3 linked regions of the Oryzias latipes genome follow. The protein of the gene in region 2 purifies or fractionates together with the protein of the main gene of each other region. This does not show direct contact. Links are inferred from orthologs where the notes say so. Each region holds a gene or a part of one and is shown on either strand. Other genes may lie near its edges.

Evidence for each region. Proteins that work in one complex are often made in the same cells at the same time.
Region 1: the proteins of fam98a (region 2) and atxn2 purify together in Homo sapiens (co-immunoprecipitation; 3 studies listed by BioGRID and IntAct, counting the BioPlex papers as one, with this or other methods). This does not show direct contact. The link is inferred for Oryzias latipes from reciprocal best matches to the Homo sapiens genes FAM98A and ATXN2.
Region 3: the proteins of fam98a (region 2) and nufip2 purify together in Homo sapiens (co-immunoprecipitation; 3 studies listed by BioGRID and IntAct, with this or other methods). This does not show direct contact. The link is inferred for Oryzias latipes from reciprocal best matches to the Homo sapiens genes FAM98A and NUFIP2.

The regions. Positions count from the first base shown.
Region 1 is NC_019867.2:7,498,301-7,502,292, reverse strand, and holds the start of atxn2 (ataxin-2), read left to right. Parts: upstream 1-1,189; 5' UTR 1,190-1,558; coding exon 1,559-1,671; intron 1,672-2,231; coding exon 2,232-2,262; intron 2,263-2,624; coding exon 2,625-2,684; intron 2,685-3,046; coding exon 3,047-3,118; intron 3,119-3,992. UniProt on the Homo sapiens protein: Involved in EGFR trafficking, acting as negative regulator of endocytic EGFR internalization at the plasma membrane.
Region 2 is NC_019873.2:1,647,197-1,650,540, reverse strand, and holds the end of fam98a (protein FAM98A), read left to right. Parts: intron 1-57; coding exon 58-239; intron 240-498; coding exon 499-579; intron 580-649; coding exon 650-766; intron 767-1,556; coding exon 1,557-1,724; intron 1,725-1,883; coding exon 1,884-2,462; 3' UTR 2,463-2,821; downstream 2,822-3,344. UniProt on the Homo sapiens protein: Positively stimulates PRMT1-induced protein arginine methylation. Involved in skeletal homeostasis. Positively regulates lysosome peripheral distribution and ruffled border formation in osteoclasts.
Region 3 is NC_019872.2:16,918,304-16,922,443, reverse strand, and holds the start of nufip2 (nuclear fragile X mental retardation-interacting protein 2), read right to left. Parts: upstream 2,804-4,140; 5' UTR 2,488-2,803; coding exon 2,340-2,487; intron 1-2,339. UniProt on the Homo sapiens protein: Binds RNA.

The DNA.
Region 1 (3,992 bases), on a different chromosome or scaffold from region 2:
GTTGCCAATCAGTTTTATAATTTTCATGTTATACACGTTTTCTGTTGTTTAAGTTGTGTCTTTCAGTAAATTGTTGAATAAAGGTCACATACTACTGCATGGTATAGCGTGGGAACCAACTACTGACTAACCTTAACTGTTGTTCAATGCAGGTTTATAAGGATTTGAATCGGGTGACCATGTTTAAGAAATGGGAATCAAATCAAACTTTATTTAAAAAAGAAATTTAAACGCAAAAACAACACAAAGTGCCAGAAAGCTGACATCTGGCTCATAAACACAAACCCTGACCTCTAGTTTCTCTTTAAACCAGAATTGATATTAAAAAAGAAAAACCTGGGATTAAACAAGAAAATATTGCTTAATGCTTAGGTCTTGAAGTCATAGCAAGGGTTCAGTTGTCACAACCCAGTGCATGCTCGGATCCGCATCCCATTCTCTGAGCTGCAGTGCAGGGCCTCTAACCACAGCAACCATCCCTGATGTGGAATAATCTCACAGGGAAAGCATTGGGATGAAAGATAAAATAAATCAATAAAAAAATCAACTAAAACCAATAATTAATAAAAAATAGGAAACAACCAGAGTAAAAATATATTAAAAGTATACCGTAACAGAAAGACACACAATTGGCAAGATTTAAAAAAATAATATATATATATATAAAAAAGCGGATTGTTGGTAAGTAAAATGTATTTTTTTCTTATAGTATACAATTAAATAAAAATGTGCTAAAATAAGAAATCAGGCGTGAAAAAATAAATAAATGAATGGATCATGAGTTAGAAAATGTAGGGTTTTCTTTCCCACCCACAAAAATATGAATAAAAGTCGGACGTTTGCAGAAAATAGTAATTAACATTATAACCCATCCATCACTTATTGTGTCCAAGGTGTTGTTTGATTCCATACAGACAGAAACCAGCTCACGTGGATCCCATGAAACATCCATGTAAAACTAATGGACTTCCTGAAAATAGTGCCAATGTGCAGTTGTAAATTGAAAAAAAATAAATAAATAAAAAATAAACAGACAATTGTATGTTTATAATTTTCTTTTTTTTTTGTTGATAAATATTACATTTATATGTTTAGTTAAATGAATGCAGTCATGTACGTTTTTATAAATGATTGAAACTAATGTGATACGCCGTTACGCCTTTCCTATATCCCTCCGCCGGTTTTTGTCTCTCTCAGACTGTTTTGGTCTTTTCACTGTTAGCAACGGAAAGAGCCCAAGCTAGCTGTGAACGTATTTAGAAAAAAAAAAATTAAATCTTTTTTTAGGGTTTCATAAAAAATTGACAAGTGGCGTAACGTTTTTTGGGGGGATTTCAGGAGCGCGTCGTCTTTTTAAAACTTGTTTTTTTTTCCTGTTTTAAAAATATTTGTACAGATTGCTAATTTGAGGGAGCAACTGTGCACCGGAGTTAGTTAGCAAGCGTCTTAGCATAACATTCACGTTGACATTAGCCTGCTAGCACGTTGGCAAGCTGTCACCGAGGAAATTCACGTCTGAAAGTTGTCATTTTAAGACTTTGTTTTTTATGGGATCATTATGTCATTGAAGACCGGTGGAAATCGCAGCAAGCCCGGCGGTGGTAACACCGCTGGTGGTGGGGCCGCCTCCGGTGCCGGGGGAAGCGGCGGTGGAAGACAGAATCTGGGCAGGTCAGTAATAATATCAAAATTCATTGTAAAAATAAATTTTACTAAAGGTATCTGTGACCTCTATTCAGTAAATACATATAATCACTTTAGACGGTTTTAGTTTGAAGAGATGACATACATGCTAAATGGTAAAATTTGTGCGTGTCAGAGAATGAAATGCGGGCCTTGCGTCATGCTCTGGTCATCAGGTAAAACGTTTTGCAGCTCGGCTAGCGAGGCCTAACCGCTAATGTTCAGCAATGTTTCGACTTTTTCTAGTTATACACGGATTTAAAAAAAACAAACCATATGAATGTGCATATAAAATGTGCATCTAAACGTCCCTTTCACCTCGCATGCTCTATGTAACCCCGGCGGTTTAGAATGGCCCACCCAGAAATGTTTTTTTTTTTTTTTTGGATTGAAATGGGACATTTTATTGTGTCAACGATCATGGCATTTTCTTTCACGTACAGAGCTGTTTTGTAGAGTTTACCCAGTCAGAACATGCAATCTTTATTGTAGAATGCATCAATTGTAAGAAAGTTTGTCAGCAATATAGAAATATTTTTTTTCCTCAGGGGAAGACACGGTGGTAAAGGTCCTGCAGCTGTAAGTTACCAATAATTCTTTAAAAAAATCATATTAATATGTATGTATGCATGCTGGTTAACATGCATCTGTTACCTGCAAGTGTTTTGAATGTATTGGTGAAACACAAGTTTGTGTTTAAAAGTAGCCATGAGTCAGAAAAGCTCAGGTTAATAAAAGCATATTTTGTGCTTTATTCCAAAGTGAACTGATGTTTTGTGGATGTCATTCGGATGTGACCTACTGTTTATTTATCAGCAAATTGTGAGCAGCAGATTATGTGCATTTTCTTTCTTTCTTTCTTTCTTTCTTTCTTTCTTTCTTTCTTTCTTTCTTTCTTTCTTTCTTTCTTTCTTTCTTTCTTTCTTTCTTTCTTTTTTTAGGTCATTTTCAGTGGTGTTTATGCAAATATGAGGATGGTCCACGTTTTGACTTCAGTGGTGGTAAGTTGACCTTAATATCCTGAGTTAATTGCAATAACTGTCTTTCTATTTTGTTTCTAATATTTCCTACTAATAAAGCACAAGTCGAACATATTGTAAAGAAAATAACCACAAATATATTACTGTAGCTCACAGAGTAATAGTAGTGTTGGAGTTTTTTGTTTGGACTCATGCTGTGTTTTTAAACCTTAGGAATGTTTGTAAGGAAACAGTTGATTATATAAACAAAGATAAGATTGATCCTTTTTTTTTTGTTTATTCTGTGACAAATCCATTTGAAGTTCCTTTTTTGTTTTGTTTAAAATAATGAAATTAATTGAATAAACAGTTGCTGCATACATTAACAAAATTGCCTTTTGCAGGGGACAAAGTGTGAGCTGGAGGTGAAAAACGGTTCTGTGTACGAAGGCGTATTTAAGACGTACGGTCCAGAGGTAAGTAAAGAGCAGGAAACATGATAAAGTTCCATTGTAACTATTTTCTGCACATACCTAATAACAGATTAAGATACCAGAGTAGAGTGGGGGGGGGGGGGGGCATTATTCCTTCCATAAATTCTGTGTGTATTACTCGTGAACTTTTGAAGGTCAATCTGTTTAAAAATGTCATGTTCAGATGAACAATTTTACCGCAGCAATGAAAAACTGCAGCTCATTTAGTAAAGCATGACGCTAAACAGAAAAGACTTTTCCGTACAATTATCAAAGACTTTTCCTTATTTTATGTTTCTTAAGTATGTTACTGCCTCTCTAAGGCCGCATGTGTGTTATGTCAATAAAAATAGCAGCTTTAAAAAAGAATCTGAATATTCTTTGCTTTTAGAAGCTAATGCCACTTTTCGCACGGGGTCAAAAGAATAAAGCTCGACTTTTTTCTGTTTTTTACTGCACTGGACATTTACATTTGCAGAAATGTTTAAATGTTGATGTTTTTGTTAGCTCTTTTTAGATGGTGAGTCAACCCTGCAAAGAATGGTTAGAGGGTAGGGGGGTACTTTGAGACTGCAACGATATGTTCAGTCATTTATATTATGTAACTGTTAGGCCAGGAAAGTTTATTTGTTTAGCACATTTCATGTGCAAAGACAACTCAAAGCGCTTAACATAAAACATTTAAAGAAGCAATCAAATACATATTTAGAAAGATCATTAAAATAAGATTTGAAGAAAGTTAAAAAATAACTTCATTTAACTGAAGCATGGATAAACAGTGTGGATGTCAACTTTTGAATACAAACTAATCAAATGCAGCAGAGATCTGGTGGGTCTTTATCTGGATCTAAATAAACTAAGTGTTTCAGCTGATCTA
Region 2 (3,344 bases):
TTCCTGCTTCAGGCTGAGTCCCTCAGCTTCCTGAAGCCCTTCTTCTCTGTGCTGCAGCTTTCCTGGTGTCAGAGCTGGAGGCCTCCAGGATGATCCTGGTGAACAAGCCTCAGAAGAAGGCCCAGGAGGCTGGCAGCCCCGTCTTCCAGGAGCTGAAGGGGATCTGCGTGGCCCTGAGCATGTCCAAACCTCCAGCCAACATCACCATGTTCCAGTTTTTCACCGGCATTGAGAAGAAGGTCAGTCCAGCTGTTGCATGATTTCTGTTCAAGTTGACTTGATCCAAACACAACATGGTCCTCAGTCATGGCCTGGAGAAGTGATCCTGCAGGACAAACTGGACCTGTTTGACAGAAATGTCCTCCCCTGCCTGACTTCCGGCACCTTGTCCTCCCGCGGCACCTTGTCCTCCCGCGGCACCTTGTCCTCCTGCGATTTTTTTTGTGTGTGAACATTTGACCATCAGTGACCCACAATGACATTTCATTGTTCTTCCAGCTGAAGGAAGCCCTGAGTCGGGTGCCGGCCGGTCACGTGGGGGAGCCGCTGCTGAAGAGACCGCTTGGACCTGTGCACTTGGTAAACAAGGCGACGCCTCAGCGTGGGGGCCGTGCTCCCTCCCCGTGTGAACCGCTCTGTGCTCTTTCAGGAAAAGATTGAGGCCATAAACCAGACGCTGGTGAACGAGTACGAGGTGCGGAGGAAGACGCTGCTGAAGCGTCTGGACGTGACGGTGCAGTCCTTCGGCTGGTCCGACAAAGCAAAGGTACCGGCCCACACAAAGCCCCAATAGAATAGAACAGAAAGCCTTTACTGTCATTATGGAACAATGTGACGTTCTGATCAGTTCTGTCTGAAGTGGGCAGACTTTACAGACAAATAACAGAATAAAAAACAATGTGCAAGGATAAAAAAATGACACATCCAAGCCCCACGCTCCTTGACACGGACAGACTTGTTTATGTTCTTTGTTTTTGTCCTGTCAATATTTGTCAATACAATCATAATAGTAAGTTTTCTAAAATCCTCTTGTCTTGGTTTTCATTCACCCACTCTGGGTTCCTAGAGGCAGACCTGTCAGAGCGCCGGGCCTCCTTCCATACGTGTTCTATGACCACGTTTAGCACGCGGGCTTCACACTGGTCCGTCACCACCCAACACCACCGCATCTGCTCACAGCTGGAAGAGGCGCGGTGTGAAATAGAGGGGTGCAAACCTCCTGAGTCTTTTCACAGCTCTATTCCAAGAGATGAAAGACATAGTGACATAAGATTCTGGCTGGGAACAACACGTGTTGAATGGCCACGCGTTTTGTACGTAGAGCCCAAAAACTGATTTTAAAAACTTGCTTCACTGCATGTGAACGTGAGAGTTTGGAATGTGGAGGCCTGAAACACGCTGACACGTGCGTTTACATGGACTTTGACGGGAAGTGGCGGCTTGAATGCGCGTTGCCGATGCTGGTGTGAACGCAGCTTGATAGTCAAGCATTTGCTGGTAGGCTTTCTGAACCTGAAGGGGAGAGAACTCCTGCATGCTGTCTGTGGTGTCTGCAGGTGCGGGCGGAGAAGCTGGGGCAGGTGTACCAGCCGCTGCGCTCGGTACTCGCCGTCAGGAGCAGCGTCTCCGTTGCTCATCTTCTGGCTGCGCGGCAGGACTTCTCCAAGATCCTGAGAACGAGCAGTGGGAAGATCCGGGAGAAGACGGCCTGTGCGATCAACAAGGTGGGGTAGTACTCCTCCTGTAAAACGGGGGGGGGTTAACCTTTCTCTAGAGCTCCCACCTAAATGTTTTATTCTCTCAGCTGGATCCACAGCTTCTTCTGGAGTCTTGACAGCATTTGTCACTGTCTTTCATCTCCACCCCTCCCCTCCCCTCCCCAGGTTCTGATGGGACGAGTGCCAGACAGGGGGGGCAGACCCTGTGAGATTGAGCCCCCGCCCCCAGAGATGCCCTCCTGGCAGAAGCGTCAAGATGCACCCCAGGGCGGAGGACACTATGGGAGTGGGCACGGAGGCAGCAGAGGGGGCTATGAAAGAGCAGGAGGGGGCCATGAAGACAGGGTTGGCAGAGGAGGAGGAGGTAGAGGGGGCAGAGTGCAGGGCAGCTGGGGGGAGGGAAGTGGAGGGGGAAGGGGCGGGTATCATGATGCGGGGGGAAGAGGAAGCTACGGAGCTGGGGGGGGTGGACAGGGGGCCTTCCAGGATCCTGGTTACCACGGAAGAGGAGGCAGTTACCATGACAACTATCACCAGGATGGAAGCTGGCAACAGGAACGTGGTGGGGGCCGTGGAGGGCGAGGGGGACGTGGAAGAGGAGGCAGAGGAGGCCAAAGTGGTGGTTGGGGGGGCAGAGGAGGCTCCGGTTTCAGTCAAGGGGGTCAATTTGAACAGTTTTTTCAGCATGGGGGGCAACAGTTTAACCAGGCCGGTTTCAATCAGGGCAAACACTACAACAGCTGAGGGGGACAAAGAGAGCCCCCATCCTCTCACCTTGACTGATGACGCTGTGAAGGATAGGTGAAGGGGGTGGGGGTGGGGGGTGTAAATTCTCTGCCTGCTAAAGCACCTCCTTCTGGGAGGGTTCTTGTTCATTGTTGGACCCAAAAGCAGGAGCGGTTCTGAGAGTGACCTCTGCACCCCCACAAAGTTTGAGGTCTACGCTTTTTGTTTGGAGACGGGGGGGTTGGAGGGGGCTGCTGTTTGCCCTCCTCAGATGAGTCTGGATTATTTTCTGTTAAAGATGGAAGCGCCTGGGAATGTGGTGCACGGGGGGGGGGGTCGCACGGACAAGCAAACAATTAAAAAGTGTTGCTGTCTGAGTGGAGTTTGATTTCCTTTACTTGAATGAATAAACACTTTGGGCAAGACACCTCACCTCACCTCACCTCACCTCCAGTGTGGCTCCACCCGTGTGTGAATGTGTGTGAATGTCCCGGTGATGGGGGGGCTGTAGGAGGGAAGTGGCAGCCACGCCTCTGTCAGTCTGCCCCAGGGCAGCTGAGGTACATCAGTAGTTACCATCACCAAGTATGAATGAATATTGGATGTGACACACTGTAAGAACTTTAAGCGTCTGGAAAACCACAGATAAATCAAATCCATTACTATTTTTTTAGCTGGTTGGAGTCCCAGCTGGGTTCTTTCTTGGCGAAGTTTGCATGTTCTCGTTCATGAGTGGGTTCTCTCCTGGCACTCTGGCTTCCTCCCACAGTCCAGAAACATGCTGCACAGGTTGATTGGTGACGCTAAAATGTCCCTAGGTGTGATTGTGTGGTCCTAAAATAAACTGGTGACCTGTTCAGAGTGTATGTACCCCTCTCATCCAGCTGGGATAGGCTCCAG
Region 3 (4,140 bases), on a different chromosome or scaffold from region 2:
ACATTAGTGGCCGTTCACGTTAAATAACATTTCTACTAAATAATGGTAAATGCCGTATACTTATTTAGTGCTTTACAAGCTTTTTAGAAGGCCCAAAGCGCTTTACAGTCACAGTCCCATTCACCCATGCACACACACTGGCGCCAACCTTCCACCAGAGGTAAGGTGGGGTTCAGTGTCTTACCCAAGGACACCTTCCTGCAATCTTTTGATCAGAGGTCGACCCCCTTCCACTGTACCAAGGCAGCCCGTAATAATGACATGTTAATTTTGACATAAAACTAAACAAGTCTATTTTTAGGTTGATGTTGCCTTTATTTATACGTTTGGTTGGTAAAGGATATTCATGGTTAAAGCAGCAGAAAATGCTTTTTCAGATGACCTGCAAACATGTATGAATGGCACAAACGAATTACAAATATGACTCTGCAGCTATATTGTTACGCAATATCAATACATATTAGAAAACATGTTATTTTTAGGTCTCATCAACTTTACTCACTTGAGTTCTAAGTTAATTGGAATTAAACATAAATCAGTACTTTTTGGAGAAATCAATATAATTTTTTGTATCAAATTACCTATACTTGTAAGTTGAGGTGTAACAATTAATCAACATAACTGATTAATTGATTTCTACTTCTACGATCCAACCAGATTGATCTGTCTGAGACAGGTTGTCAACCAATCGACCTACAACAGTATAAAATCGTTTCAAAATGAGACAAATTAATTATAATCATTATCGGAATTTAGCATTTGCATCACAGCAGACAAAACACACGTGATGTAAGCAAAAAATGATCAGTCTATTATTCCAGTCCAATATGTGGAAACACTTTGAATTTAGCAAAGACATGCGACCATACAGTGTGCTAGAATGTTCTAAAAATGTTCCCTTTGGATTATTTTGATGTGGAGAAACAACAGTGGACTGAACTTTAGGAAATTAAGAGGTGAATGGATTTTACATTAATTCTTGTTTACTTGTTTGGTTGTACACACATTTAATTTACACTAGATTATCTTACAAGAAATACAAGGAATCTGGAAAACTTCACCTGCACTGTTCAGTACCAGGTATTTCTGAGTCACACTGGAGGAACTTTTGGCTAAAGATGTCCTGGATCCATTTTAGGTCAGTAAATCGTTTCAGATCAAATGAACCAATACAGACTATGAATTGTACTGGCAACCAGAAATTAGGATATGAATCGAATCATTACACCCAGATTCATGAGTATAATCTCATCCAGTTCACTTCCATGTTCAATAACAGGTTTTTGAAATTTCAGTTGATCATTCAGTACCAACATCTCGTATATACAGCTCGTTGTGAATAAAACTGATCTTGTTTTAATTAGTCACATCCTTGATATGCTGCAGTTGACGCTGATGTCATTGTCCCACATTGGACGTGTGTGATGACCTATGCTTATTGTGCTGTAATTACTTAAGCATGGGAACCGCGGTGCAAACGTGGGACTTTTCCCTTCACGGGATTTCTCCAGCCGAATGTTTGTGGACAAAACACGCGAGATTCCCCACACAGAATAAATCACTTTTGCTTTTTAGTAAACAGTGTTTTACAGCAGTCAGTTTTCTGAGCCAATTCTTCCACGCTCCACGGCTGCAAACACAGTCAGTCAGGCAGCATCTTGCGTGACTTCACAACACGCGATAGGCCTGTCAGACAGCTAATGCTAGCGGAATGTCAACCAACCAGTAGCTCGCTCAACACTAGCGCACTTTCAGACGACTCCCTGGTTCCGTTATTTTCAGTCCCCGGCGGCAATTAGAGAAAGCATGAACAAATAGAGATGGGCAATGTAGCTACTCGGAGAGCAAAAGCAGCATTAGCTTACAGTCCACGTCTAACATGGCCGACAGGAAATGGGAGCACAGAACATTCCAGCGGAGCCGGCTCGGTTTCCTAACTGGACTCGAAACCGATACACTACAGGAGGTTGAAGTTTGGAGGAAGACTAAGTTAGTCTCTACAGACACAGGGTGGCACAAATAAAGCTTTTATTAGAGGCGTTAGCTAAAATAAAATCGGAAAGCAAAGCCGGCGCACAAGGTCAATCCCTGATATGTCAAACCAACTGTCACGCAACGTCAGCTTTAAAAAAGCGTGAGTTTCTCGTGTGACAGAGGCCTAGCGTGGCTCTCCTCGAGCGAGCCACCGAACTGCCACGGCGGTTCTGAAAATATTCAACCGTGCAACCAACAATCAGCAGGATAAAGCTTCAATTGTGGGAACTTAGCGAGGGCTCGTGCGCTCGTTGACATTAGCCAACTGAAGCTAGCAACAAGCTGACTTTTCGGGACGGCCTAACCTGTTTTCTTCGCCTGCGTTTCCTGATGCTGGCACTGGATGTGGCTCTGATCATGTTTCAGACGAAGTGTGTGTTGAGTATAGTTTCTGTCCTCTCCGTGGTGATGGTTTTGCCTGTCTTGTGCCCGATCTTTGGGCTGTTCCTCCATTGAAGTGAAGAATGTCGGACTGGTTGAGGCGGTGTTAGCTCCCTCTTAGTGCCGAACAGTCCAATCACTACCAGAGTGAAACGGAAGCTATTTGAAGCCCGTGTAAACGTCAGCAGCAAATGTCTAAAAATGGCTCTGTTTTGGGTGGTCACCGCCACTTAAATCCACGTCCAGACCCTCTGTTGGCCATTGCAGATCATATTCAAGCGCCTTTGTCGATCAAATCTGCATTTTACTCTAGAATTAGAAGTTAGGAGAACAATAACCCCCCCTGTCAGGGTAGGAAATAACGGGGTGGGGTTCGTGCATGAGCCAAAAATCATATGACCCGAGGCGCTGCCACGTCTCCAGCCAGTGGACAACCTTTGATGGAGGGTCAGCCTTTAAATAAATGCTTTTTGTTTGTTTTAAGTCTTCTAACTGCTGTTTAATATACATACATACGATCAGATACATAAAATATTGGACTGTTTCAAATTTGTAGAATTGACAGTTGTTAAATCAAGAACTTAGTTCAAAGGGGTTTCGCCTCAATTAAACTCAATTCTCCTTTTCATTGTAATCATAAGATTTAAAACACGGGATTGCAGTTATAAATATCTAGAAACAATAATAGGATAGTTTCTTCATTTATGCTTTAAAAAATGAAAGAAAAAGTGTAATAAAAAATACTCGTAAATTTGTTAAGTTTTAGAGTTAATTGAAGCGCCTCACTTTTCAAAAAGTGGGAGAAGTCTGGAATCTTTGAACAGCTCACGCGTTTAGATAATCGTTGAAACAATGCCATCTAGTGGCCACGAGTGGAAGTCCTCAGATTATAATCTCTATTATGAAATTGGCTATAAATAAATATTTCAGATCAAAGCTTTGTCTATTTTTTAAGTTTGAGATTAAAATACATTACAAAAAATACAGCTTTAACATTACATAATTTATAAGCCACCATTAAGACAATTAATCATACAAAATATGTTTTAAATAGCTAATATTCACAAATGATGAAAGTTAAGAATCAAGCAACCTTTATTCACTTCTTCCCTTCTGTTCAGTTAAAGCACTCTCTTGATTCCAACACACTTTTACTGCTGATGTATGCAGTCCTGGCCCCCTTCCACTTGACAGCTACTTTTATATGAAATATTCATATCACTGCTTCATTTAACAGCAAGATTTATTTTTAAAAATGGAAGGTTTCCAGAGAACAGTACTCTCCAGGCACTTGGTTAAACATATCCTGGACACTATTTTTAAAATAAATATGTTGGCAGGTTTATGGCAACTTTTGCCACTTTTTTTCTTTTTTTAAATCAAATGATCCCTCAGATGATTTTTTATGGAGGAAAAGCAAAGACCTGTGCAATAATGGGATAAGAAAATTAATATTTGTTTAATAAAAGTTATTCACTCTAATTTACATTTGTATATCATTTCATCAAGAAAGAGTTGACCATATAGTTAATGTCTTATTTCTGACAAAAGTATTTGGTTTTCTTTTAGACACAATATGAGCACCCTTTCTGACAACTTGACAGAAAAAGTCAAGCTAAGTGCAGTATTTCAACAAAGAATCATGTGCCACGGCACAACCGAGTGAGCAATTTCATAAAGCCTATAGAAAATATGAAATTATGATTTGTAAAATTATTTTTCTTA